Linked DNA regions of Caenorhabditis elegans. The protein of the gene in region 1 purifies or fractionates together with the protein of each later gene. This does not show direct contact. Each region holds a gene or a part of one and is shown in the gene's direction. Other genes may lie near its edges.

Region 1 (5,293 bases):
GACAAAACTGAAGAGGACGTGGATCACAATGCTGAATATCATGATTACACTGATCACCATTATGATGAAGATCATGAATACCATGACTCGGATAATACAACTCATCCAACAATTAGTGTGGTATCTATTGAAACAAGATTATCAGAATCAGATTCGGACGCTGATTCCAAAGAAAAACAATCGGAAGATAATGCACTCGTAGAAGTGACAACTCCAGATCAACTTTTAAACTTGACCCCACCAAATATTGTTAATTCAAATGAATCAGAAGATTTGGAAGAAAGCGGAGAAGAGATTCAAATTGAAACAACAACACTCAAGCGAAAAGTATTTTCGGAAGATAGTATGGAGAATACACCACCAAACTTCTTTTATTCATCAAATCGTTATGACAGTACAACACGGTCAAATTATGTCGCTGATAATTTAGATTTAGAGGTATATTTGGAATGTTACTGTATTATTATTTCTTACATTATTCATGAACTGAAGGACGAGTAACGGTTTTGGGTTTTTTTTCTTAAATAACTAATGATACACCAAAAATCTACTTTCATGATGAGACTTCTTGATTCAAATATGTCTTATTCCAAAAAAAAAGATTTAATAAAACCAAAATTAGAAATTAAAGCTAAACTTTGCCCTTTTCCCAAAAAAAAAATTGGAGAACTTTAAACATTGTTGAGATTATTACACTTTAAACATTGTTGAGAAAAACTTTAAACATTGTTGAGATTTTTTGTGAGTAGTCGCATTCGAGTTCGAAGTTTTAGAGCCATTGTGTGATTATTTCAGCAAAAACTACCGTTACTTCTTCTTCAAATGGTGCTTTTGAATATAACCTATTCTAAACTTGCGAAACTCAATTATTCAATGCCGATATTATGTAAACTTAATTTCAATGTTCAGGATAGCGAAGAACCGCTGGAAATTGATACATCGACGTTGTTTGGTGTTGAGACAACTTCCAATGAAATTATCGAGTTGTCCACATCTACAATATCTTATAAAACGACTGAAACTCCAAAGAAAACAACAAGTGGAAAACCGAAACCATGGCTTCATGGCGGAGTTATTGTAAAACCAATTTTAAATTTTGATCAGTTGGATGTAGATCAAGGTGTGTCTTACATTAAAGTCAGTTACAAATCTCTCATTATTCCAGACGAACAACGAGAACGAGAAAATCGTCGTCAAGAATTCAAAAATTCATCTTCCACACTTTCAACATCTGAGACATCTCCAACAAAAGGCGATGATCTTCTCAGTGGAGACTCGGGTGGCCCATCGACAAATGAAACATTGATTGTAATTGGGCTCATTGCACTTGTCACTTGTCTCATTTTCCTCGTACTTCTCCTTCTTCTCGCATACTTCTGTTCTACACGAACTGATAGTTATAATGTGCACAAAGACGAAGGAAGTCCGCCTGTATGAGAAAATGAGCAGCAGCTTCTCTGAAGATATGTAAAGAAAAAGTCATGAGAAATTATTATCATGATTCTGTTACGTGTATGGTTTTTTGTAGCATTCGAATTTCACTCAATAAATTCTAATAATTTTGTTTGAACAAACTTGATAGTTCTCAAGAACCCTATAGATATTTTACGAGGATGTGTCTGTCTCCCAACTTCTCGTCCGAAAAATATATCCAAAACAACTCGTAGTGAAGTTCGTTCACGTTTATACTTTGCACATTGTACTGTTATTTTTTCTGAAAATTTTTTAGAACGGTCAGGGAAGTTAAAAAAGAAATTTTGACGTGAAAAACTGGAGAAATCCTCTTGTATCCAATTTTAGTTTCCCCAATCAATTTATTTCCTTTTCTCAATATTCGCGTTAAATTAAATGGAAACTTTGGAGCGTTCTGAAGAAACTGTGTAAGTTTGGTTTTTGAAGTTTATCAGAACTCAGGTCTCAATTTTTCCAGGATCTTGATAGATGGATTGGCAATTCCAAAAGTGAAGCCATATGTGCCGATGTTGAAAGATCGAAACGGTTCTGAGTATTTGTCAAATGATCAAATGTTTCGCGGAAAGTTTATGGTGAAGGTAAGGGATTTTCAAAACAATAAGCAATGCTACAAAAATGGCTACTGAAAAAAACCACGTCTGCGCCTTTCCCTTTCCCATGATTTCTTGATGCTAAAAATGAAAACGTTCTCATAAGCGGTTCGAGCTTTCAAAAACTTCTTTGATCAATGTGAAATTTTGCGCAGAATCACTTCCAAATATTTATAATTTTTATTAAATTAAAAAATTTAGGGGCTTATCGGACGTGGAGGTTTCGGCCAAATCTACTACGGCTCAGACGCTACATTCCCGGAAGATGTTGTCATCAAAATTGAGCCAGTGGTCCTGAAAGGAAGGCCAAGACGACGAATGATCTTGGAGCAAAAAGTTCTCTACCGTCTGCAGGGAAGACCTCATGTTCCCATTATGTGCGCTTCGGGACACACGGAGCAATTGAATTTTATTGGTAGGTTTCTTTGAGGCTTTATAGCTTTCAATGTTGCAGAATATAAAGTGTCACTGAAAGTCAGCGACCGGTACATCTTCGCGGGATTTGAAGTTATCAAAAAGTTTTTCTAACATGTTGCAAAACATAACATTTATAATATTTTGCAACGCGCAGTCGACTTTTGCCAGTTCACAGCAAAAGCGGTGCGTACTAAAAACAGTCAAGTTTTTAGTAATGCAACTTCTTGGTCCAAACATTGGTGATCTGAAGAAAAGAAGCCCAGTAAAACGTCTGAGCCAAACCACAGTCGCACGAATCATGATCCAAGGAATCGCTGCACTTCGGGATGTCCATTCTCTTGGTTACATTCACCGAGACGTGAAACCTGCAAATATGTGCTTTGGAGTTACTCAAAGTGTAAGAATATTTGATATTTATGTATGTAATACCCGTTTTCCAAAAATAAATTCTCCATTTATGTACATATTTCTATTTAAACTGCTAATATAATTGAAACGTGACATTATGTTGCATTTTTATGCTTAGTATACCACCACTTCTAAGCATAACGTTGTATAAAAACGGTAGTTTTTAACGGTAGTTTTTTTAATGCCTAGGTAACGGTAGTTTTTTTAATGCCTAAAAGATTGTTTGGGTTACGGCTATTTGAGCAGGTTAGAGCCAGGTTTTGCCAATTTTCAGACTCGTCATGTGCTCAAGCTAGTCGACTATGGGATGGTTCGAAGATTCAAGAACGTGGATGGAACACGTCGTAAACAGAGATACAAACCTGGTTTTAGGTAACTTTAAATTGTTCCCAGAAAGTTCAGAAAATTGTTCAGAGGGACACTGCGCTACTCGTCTGTGCGTGTCCACGATGGAAAAGAACAGACCCCAGTTGATGACTTTGTGTCAATGGCCTACTCTGGGGCTGAGCTTCTCCTTGTCAACCTTCCCTGGAAACTGGTGAGCACTGATGACATCCGACAGACTAAAGTGGACTTTGTACGTGATTTTAAAAAGTTGTACCTTTAAAATGTTTGTTTAGAATACTCCAAACTCTCCATACTTGCTGCTCACCGGACCCTATTTCTCCGTGTTCTGTGGAGCGATTTTCAATTTGCGATCGGAGGATGAGCCCGATCATTCTTCATTGCAAAATTTGCTTTGTGTAAGTTAAATTCTGAACTGATCGTGATTGTTCCTTACCACGTAGAAAACGTAATTTGAATTTTAAAAAAACTAAAATCCCTGCCACCAACAGAGCTATCAAAAAGTTTTCAACCAGTATATAAATTTCACAAAAATCCCTGTTAGCTGAACTCTTTCTAGTATCTCGCACTAGATATTTCGAAGTTGGTACTGTTTTCCTACAATATTTGTCTAAAATATCAATAGAGAGCTCACAACTGCAAAGTATTTAAAATTTTAAGATCTACGTTTTGTTAGTGAAAACTTTGTTGATAGATATAATAGCAACTGAGATATCATAGTTTGACGTTGTGCTCTTTTCTCCAAATTAAATGAAACCTGTGCGGGCGCTGCAAATTTTGGCTGCTTGAAAATTGATTTATAACAATTTAATTTTCCAGGACATGACCAGAGGAAAATCGTTGCGTGAGGCGTATGACTGGGATGAAAACTATCGTGATGCACTTGGAAGTACGAAAGTTTTATTTTTTTCTTTTCCCTATTGTGTAGATAGTTAGAGAGTGTCAGACATCCGGGACCCAACGGGGCGGGGCGCGCGGAAGAGACGATTTGTGTCGATTTACGAAATGATGACAACGAGGAAAATTTCGTAAATCGGCACAAATCGTCTCTTCCGCGCCCCGTCCCATTGGGTCCCGGATGTCTGGCACTCTCTAACTATCTACACTATCTGTACCGGTAATACCGGAGCTTTAAACATATTTTCAGGCTCGAATACTGACAGCTCGTAATTGAACTTTTGTGATTTTGTATGTTCCTTCCTTTGAACTCCATTCTTTCCACTAGACAGTTGTCTCTCCACTTGAGTATTACAAATAAATACAATCAAATGATCTTGTGACTTACCTAGAACTACCGGAAAAGTAGGGAATGCTCTTTAAGCCGTTGGCTAGAAGATTCTTTTAGAACATTCTTGACAATTGCGATAATTGGGACAATGAAGCCATGTAGGCCCTCCTTTCCGCCGCGTCCTGGAATTTTGACTTTGCTTGAGAGAGAAAAGGCCGTGTTGAAACATATTTGGAAAAATTGCTCCGCTCTTTTGCTGCGCACATTATATAGGGTGTCCATCAGGATGTGGACACAAGATGCATCAGCAAAAGCGGGTACTTTTCAGTAAATTGTTTGCCTCTGCGGATCGGTTTTGACTATATTTCGAAAAATGTTATCTAAGCTTACAGTAGTTTTGCGCAGATAGTCAAAAATTGGACTCAAATTGGTAAAAACATTAAAAAAAACAATTATTCAAACTAGCTATCGAACACCTGAAACATTTTCTTCAGAAATTTCAAGATTGTTTTAAAAAGTTTCGCGCGATTCAACAGCCATTTTGATTAATTTTTAAAAGATTTTCTATCAAAATTTATTTCAATATAGAGTTTGAGAGTTTAAAGAAAGTCAAAATAACTTGGAGATGTGTTCGATCCAAAAATTATAGAACAGATTACATAAAGGCACCGTTACCACGAATTGATAATCAGGGCGCGATAGGAACAAGTACATGTAGACGTGGAGAACGCCTCCGTCGGTCAGAATCTAACAAAAACAACACCTTGTTCACAAGCTAACTTAAATGTACAACAGTTTTTGAGCATGAAAATAATGTTTGAACAATTTTAAA
Region 2 (7,020 bases), on another chromosome or scaffold:
TTGAGAAGAAGTTTTTATTTTTTAAATAGATACAAACTTTTTTGCGTTGAAGAATTGTTCAAAAAGGTAGTTAGGATAGACAAAAATTCAAATTCAAAACTATTTTTCCAATGAAATTTATTATTGTTTGATCAGTGAAAAAAGTAATATAGAACATCTTTTGTACAGTACACTAATTCGATTTGTGTGCATCTTTACAAAATTGTCTCCTTCATCCAAAAATTGGATTCTAGAAGTAAATTTCATAAAAACAGTATTCTATTATTTTTGTTACGAAAATATTTCACAATTCTCGGAAGAAAACGAGATGATTGTGGTTATTGGGTAAGTGTTCAAAGAATATACATAGAAGTTCCAAATTTAAAGGTGGAGTAGCGTCTGTAAGTTTTTTGCCATAAATGACAGAATAGAGACCCAATATACTAAATATAACTGTTAAAAAATGTAGAAAATGTATGAAATTTTTCTAATTTTTTAATGATTTTTTTCTTAATTTTACAAAAATTTAAAAAAAAGGACTGAATTAAATTTGAACTCCCGCGCAAATGAGTGACGTCATTTTCGAAACTTTTGCGTTTTCAGCCTATATTAATAGGTTTTTCTTCATTTTTCCTTTGTTTTATAATTTGAAATACAGTCTGTCAATTTTTCAGACTAAAAGAAAATGTATGATTAATTTTGAATAATTAAGCCAATTTCAGAGTTTCGGTAAGTTTCTTCGCAATTATCAAGTTTGAAAAATGTTTGAAAAATTGAAAAATTATGTTTCAAATTATAAAACTAATTGTAAGAATAAAGAAAAACCAATTAGTTTGGCCGTAAAACACAAAATGTCGAGAATGACGCCATTAATTTGTGCGAGAATTCAAATTTAAATCGGCCTTTTTGAAAAAATCATAAAAAATTTATTATTATTTTTTGATTTTTTAACAGTTATATTTGGTAAATTGGGACTGTATTCTGTCATTTATGGCAAAAAAACCACTACTTCACCTTATAATTTAAAATTATCCAACTCACTATCTCTGTGTTTCATTTTAGCATCGAGTTATCACTTCCGATGACTAACAAATGGGAAATCTAAGGAATAATGCAGAGATTGAAAAGAATTAGAGAAACAAACAGACAAAATCAAGTATTATTTAACAATTGTAAAGAACAACCAAAAAACCCCACAGGAAAGACCACACAGAATGTGGACCCACGACTTTGGGAGATTAGGCACCTACGAGATTTCATGGCCCAAGTTAATTGGGTAGCGCTTTGAGTTGTCATAAATGTTAATAATTGAGAAAAAGATATTTAAAACTTAAAACGTACATATTAAACTTATTTCTTATAGAATTTACTTTCAAAGCTTTTATTATAGGCGGTCGATTTGTTCTACGGCAACTCTATTCTCCAAAACAGAGTGGTGTCTCTTTTCTGTCTGATTCTCTACTTCTCTACACATTTTCAATCCTAGGTGTGTCTCTCTCTGAAGGATGAAATCTCTATTTCTCTGCATCTCCTATTTGGCTTCAGCCTATCGCTTCTCTTCCGCACACAAACATTCACTCAGTGACGTAACTTTTAATACCTACACTATTTCTCTCTTTCGCATTGTCAACTTATATATATATATATGTATATAGATCATTCCTGTACTATTTAATTTTTAATTATAACTTTTTAAAAAGGTTATTTATGATTTAAAAAAAACAAAATCTAAAGTGTCTTTAAAGTGTAAAAGTAAAAATTGGCAGGCTGGGTATACTGCCTTTTTTCTTCAAGTTTTCGAATCTAAGTAAAAATAAAAAATTTCCCCTGCTTTTTTAATACAATTTTAGTTTGAATTTTACTTGTTGAGAATAATAGACTTCAATTATCTCGATGCAGTATTATGTATTTCACTAATAATTAACAGCAAATACCTCAAAATTACCCCGAACTCGAACTATTGCTAGAATAAACCATTCGAGTAACCCGTGTATTTATTGTAGAGTTCGTGAGAAAAGGATTAAAGGATTAAAGGACGATCCGTTCTTCAAGCGCTATGCACTGCGGATCTGGGAGTCAGGTACACTGCCTGGTGGTGATCCCACTAAAAAAGTAATTAGAGTATTATAGAAAAAATACGATCGCCCAAAAATAAACAACGGCGCAACGACACTCCGCTGTTTCTGAGACCCGCCCACGATTTCATTTGCACTGCGGCCGACACATTTCAGTGCAAATGAAATCTTGGGCGGGGTTTAGAAACGGTGGAGTGTCATTGCGTCGTTGTTTATTTTTGTACGATCGTATTTTTTCTATAATAAAGGTTTAAAAAAAAGAAACACACTATTGGATGTTACATTCCAGTCAACTTGATACCTAAAATATTTAAATTTTCCATTGAAATTAGTGTTGACTTTTGTTTCCTAAATACGAACATCCTTTCAAAACCAAGCGCAAAAAGTGTAAGATCATTCACAACTGAAGTCAAATTTTTGAAGTGTGAACATTTTTTGCGTCATGCAAATATGAAATATGAGTTTATGAGTCGATTAAAAAACATAAAAACCCAAACAAAAACGCTGAAATTTCATTAAATGTTAAAAAATGACTTCTTTATTACAAATCCAAAGTTATGATTAAACATTTAAAGATTAGCTGCAAAGATTATTTATTAAACTACATATCTTTCTATTTTTAGTCTATTTTTTAAACATTGTCAGGTTTAGTTTGCACTTCAAAAAATGAAAACTGTATTTCACTAACAATATGTACATATATCCCCTCCCTCATTTTTTTTCACTCCAGAAATGGAAAGTCAATATTTGGAAAGAAAATAATTTTCCAAACTGTTAGAATCTCCGTTTTTAAGATTTATTGATTTCTACGTGGGTTGAAATGACTCAGTTTTGATGAAACTCAACAATTTTAAGGCATTTTTATCAGTTCCGGTTGGAAAGGAAAATCAGAAACATTTTTGCAAGTGATAAGAATTATGAAATTTTTATAGATTTTTTCAAACGTTTATTTGGAAATTGAAATTATACTTTTAAAAATTTAAGAAAAGCTGAAATTTAATGACTAACGTTTATATTTAATTTTTGAATTTTAAGTATTTCTCCCTGAAACTAATAACTTTTTAGGCACAATAAGATGGAAGTGGATCTGCCGGTACATAACGAGTATGATGCGTCTAGATTTCATCAAGTTACAATTAGGGTTTGTTACTAGATACTTTACCTCCATTCAAATTCATTTTCAGGACCCGATAGCCGGCGCGGACAGCACTTTCACTATTCCAACTCGTTATGTAAACCTTAGTTTTCTGAATGCCGGCGCCCAAGGAACTGTCGTGTGAGTTTTTACTAATTACATTAATATTTTATTGAAGGAAAAATAATAGGGCGAATTTTTTAACGCAGTAAACAAAAAATTTCAATAGACAAACAAATATTAACACTTCAAAGATGTTAATCAAAGATTTGATAGATTGCCAAATTTTCGAATAATTTTTACTTTTTCAAACATTTCACACTTTACTGCAAATTATAGCCCCAATAATGTTCAAATACCAAAAGATAAAATAAATTTTTTGAAAGAACTATGAATTTTAGTCATTTTAGAAACATATGGCTGGTTTCAGAGAATCCTTTCTCTGGTCGTACTCCATCTTTGAATGTCTCACTGCCTTTCAATTGTATATTTTTACACTTTAACTTTTCTTCGGTTTTGCGTAATTTCAAACACTGACACAATGATGACTTCCCGAAAAAAAACGGACCGCCCTATCAAAAAACTTTTAAAACAGGTAGAGGTCTCGAGATCATTGTTATTCGTCATTGCCCGCTGCTCCACCTCTAAGATTGAAAAAGCTTGAAAAAATCAATAATCAAGAAGATCTTCTAGAAGAATGAAAGTGACTGAAATTAAATTATCGCGCAAATGACTTCAAACAGAATTTCTAAGTTAAGTGAACAGCCATAATTTTTATTGATTACATTTAGAATGGCCGATGACCTAGTAACAACGCAACGTGTGGCAATCAAGAAGATGCAACAACCATTTGTGATGACAATGAGCGCAAAGCGAGCATATCGAGAGTTTATACTGCTAACGACTATCAAACACCCAAATGTAAGATTCAGTTGGAATCTAGAAAAAATGCTCCAAATTTCAGATAATCCGTCTACTAAACGCGTTTACACCGGACACTTCACTTTCAACGTTCCGAGAAGTATATCTAGTTATGGAATTAATGACACACAATTTGCACGAGGTTATACATCGATTAAGGTAAGAGACATGGTGGCTGATTTTTATGATTTTTTTTCAGTAATACCAATTTTTATAGTAATATCTAGTATACTAGACGTAATTTAAACTGTATATGATGGACTTGTTAGAGACTAATAGACGTAAAATATTATTTTTCTGTTATTGATTTTGAGAACAAAAGAATAAAAATAAAACAATAGGAAAAGCACGATATCTTAAAGAAGGAGTGGCGGATTCATTTTTGCTCTAATAAACTCAGAACGACTCCAAAATATCAACCTTTTTTGTCTCAATTTCACGTTTAATAAACATATTCAACAATAATAATAAGTTTATTGCTGACACTTTTCAACAAAAAAAACTTTTAAAAAAAGAAAGAAACAAGGGCAAAAGCTAGACTTTCAATTTTGCCGTCTTTCGCGTTTCCCAAGGTCGGAAATACATTTTTATCCAACCTTGAGTACCCACTTGGAAATGTGCCGAAACCATCATCAAAACACGCACAGTTAGCTACCAGAACACGCGTAAAAAAATAAAAAAAATATTCCAGCGTGTTTTGAAAATTTTTGGTCAAGATTTTAGTTAACTACCAAAAATCAGAATTTTTAAAAAAGTTTAGAACACTTGCACATTTGAGCTCCTATTCATGATTGTTCAATGATTCAATGATTGAATATTGAATATAAACACATAATTAGATTCTAAAAAAATTTTCTGAATTATTAGATTGGACCATAAAACATTATCATTCTTCGTCTACCAGAGTTTGTGCGCAATCAAGCATCTTCACAATTCGGGAGTCATTCATCGTGTACGTATCTACCACTATAGACAACATTCTGAAAAATTCAAAGTTTCAGGACTTAAAACCATCGAATATTGTCGTCAACGATCGATGTGTATTAAAAGTTTTAGACTTTGGATTGGCCCGGAAGAAGAATGTGGACACATCGATGAGAATGTCAGATTATGTGGTGACAAGATACTACAGAGCCCCCGAAGTTATATTAGGTCTTCCCTATTCGGAAAAAGGTTTGTTCGAAAAAAAAAAAAATTTTTGTAATTTTGGGCTGGACTTCCATCTGCGCTCCGGTGAGCCGCCTCAAACAGCCTCACGCCGTACGTATCCGCATGTAAAGTGCGCGTAAAACCCCAAACGTGTCGGCCGCTTCCAAACAACACTCTCAATTCATAATTGCAGTAGATATTTGGTCAGTCGGATGTATATTTGCTGAAATGATCAACCATACCGTACTTTTCCCTGGAAAAGATCGAATTGATCAATGGACTAAAATTTATAGTGTTTTGGGAACACCAGATGATCATTTCATTAGTCAATTGGGTCAGTCAGCTGCTATGTATGTTCGATCGTTGCCACGTCATCAGGCACGAGCATTCAGTGAAATCGTTCCTGATACCAATTTTCTGCCGGAGACTGAAAATCCAAGGGTCCATTTGACACGTGAGTCAGGCTATACAGGATTTTGAAAAATAAATCATATTTTCAGCACACGTGGCTCGTGATCTCCTGTTCAATATGTTGAAAATCAATCCTGAAGAAAGGTATTCAGTTGAAGATGCACTGAATCATCCATATGTTAAGTTGTGGTTTAAGGTACAACAATTTTAGCACTAAACAAAAACAATCAAATCATGCATCTCAAATCTTACAGGACGATGAGGTAAACGCCCCCGCATCAGAAAATCGATACGATCAGGAAATTGATTTTGCCGATAAGACACTTATTGAATGGAAAGAGCTAATTTTCAACGAAGTGCAACGCTATCAAGCCGACCACGACATTTTCACTGGATAATAAATAATAAAAAACCTAAAATTGTTTCTTTTTCTCTCAAAAATAATTGTGTTACTTTTTTCTTCAAAAATCTATCTTTCAGTTGTGTTCTGTCACTTAGTTGGCCATATTTTCTGGTGATTCTCTGCTTATTTTCTATATTGATTATAATCACTAAATGTTAATTATTTTGGAATACAGATTTTTTGGAACTGTTTTGTTTTAAGTATAAGAAATTGAACCTTAGCTCCACAAAATTTGCATCTCATTATAAAGTAGGGATTGTTTTTCGATTGTATTGTCAGGTTTAAATTCAAAATTCTAAATCAATAAATTAATTTTTTAGGGACCAGGTCCCCTATGAGGTCGCCACAGCGGCGCCCGCGCCGGCCTCACAGCGTCAATCACAGTGCATGTATCCGAATATATAGTGCGGCAGGGAACCCGATCGTGAAGTCCGCGCCTCACTTAGCTGGGAGACCTATAGGTTTTTTTTCTTCAAAACGATGCTTTAATTTTTGTTCTCAAAAACAAAATGAAGCCAAAATGGGAATCCAGAACGACCGGACATTAAATCACACAGATGGACAATGGTGGTCTTGAATAAGTACATTTATTTCACAAAAATTGAACATTCAGTAAAAGATGAGGTTTGAAGACTGAAAAGTGGGCTGGACAACAGAAAATCGACTTTTGGGTAGTAAAAGATTTTTGATATAAAGATGGGAAATAAAGTATATGGACATTTGGACAAAAAGAGAAACAGAGACGCCTTGAAATGTTTTCAAATGATTCTTTTAGTATTCTATTCTAGAATTAAGAAAAGCGGATGGAAAATATTTTTTTGGAATCTTGATATTTTGTAAGTTTGAACTTTTGGGTTTTGGAATTCCGAATTTTTGTTATTATCATATTATTTTTTGAAAAACCGGAATTTAGCATCAAGTCTGAGAGATTTTATAAAATAAAACTA

The links.
Region 2: the proteins of ZC581.2 (region 1) and kgb-1 fractionate together in Caenorhabditis elegans (co-fractionation; one large-scale study listed by BioGRID). This does not show direct contact.

What each region holds. Positions count from the first base shown.
Region 1 is NC_003279.8:6,653,867-6,659,159, forward strand, and holds ZC581.2 (non-specific serine/threonine protein kinase), read left to right. Parts: upstream 1-1,741; 5' UTR 1,742-1,848; coding exon 1,849-1,880; intron 1,881-1,930; coding exon 1,931-2,051; intron 2,052-2,264; coding exon 2,265-2,478; intron 2,479-2,692; coding exon 2,693-2,877; intron 2,878-3,162; coding exon 3,163-3,260; intron 3,261-3,302; coding exon 3,303-3,465; intron 3,466-3,508; coding exon 3,509-3,631; intron 3,632-4,052; coding exon 4,053-4,122; intron 4,123-4,380; coding exon 4,381-4,403; 3' UTR 4,404-4,505; downstream 4,506-5,293. Other genes in the region: ZC581.3 (CPG4 domain-containing protein), read left to right, coding at 1-438, 910-1,120, 1,166-1,437.
Region 2 is NC_003282.8:404,996-412,015, reverse strand, and holds kgb-1 (GLH-binding kinase 1), read left to right. Parts: upstream 1-1,982; 5' UTR 1,983-2,059; intron 2,060-2,143; exon of another isoform or gene 2,144-2,254; intron 2,255-3,119; 5' UTR 3,120-3,129; coding exon 3,130-3,195; intron 3,196-3,238; coding exon 3,239-3,330; intron 3,331-3,980; coding exon 3,981-4,110; intron 4,111-4,153; coding exon 4,154-4,269; intron 4,270-4,977; coding exon 4,978-5,062; intron 5,063-5,111; coding exon 5,112-5,283; intron 5,284-5,452; coding exon 5,453-5,713; intron 5,714-5,759; coding exon 5,760-5,866; intron 5,867-5,924; coding exon 5,925-6,068; 3' UTR 6,069-6,395; downstream 6,396-7,020. UniProt on the Caenorhabditis elegans protein: Mitogen-activated protein kinase which is an essential component of the JNK pathway composed of mlk-1, mek-1 and kgb-1.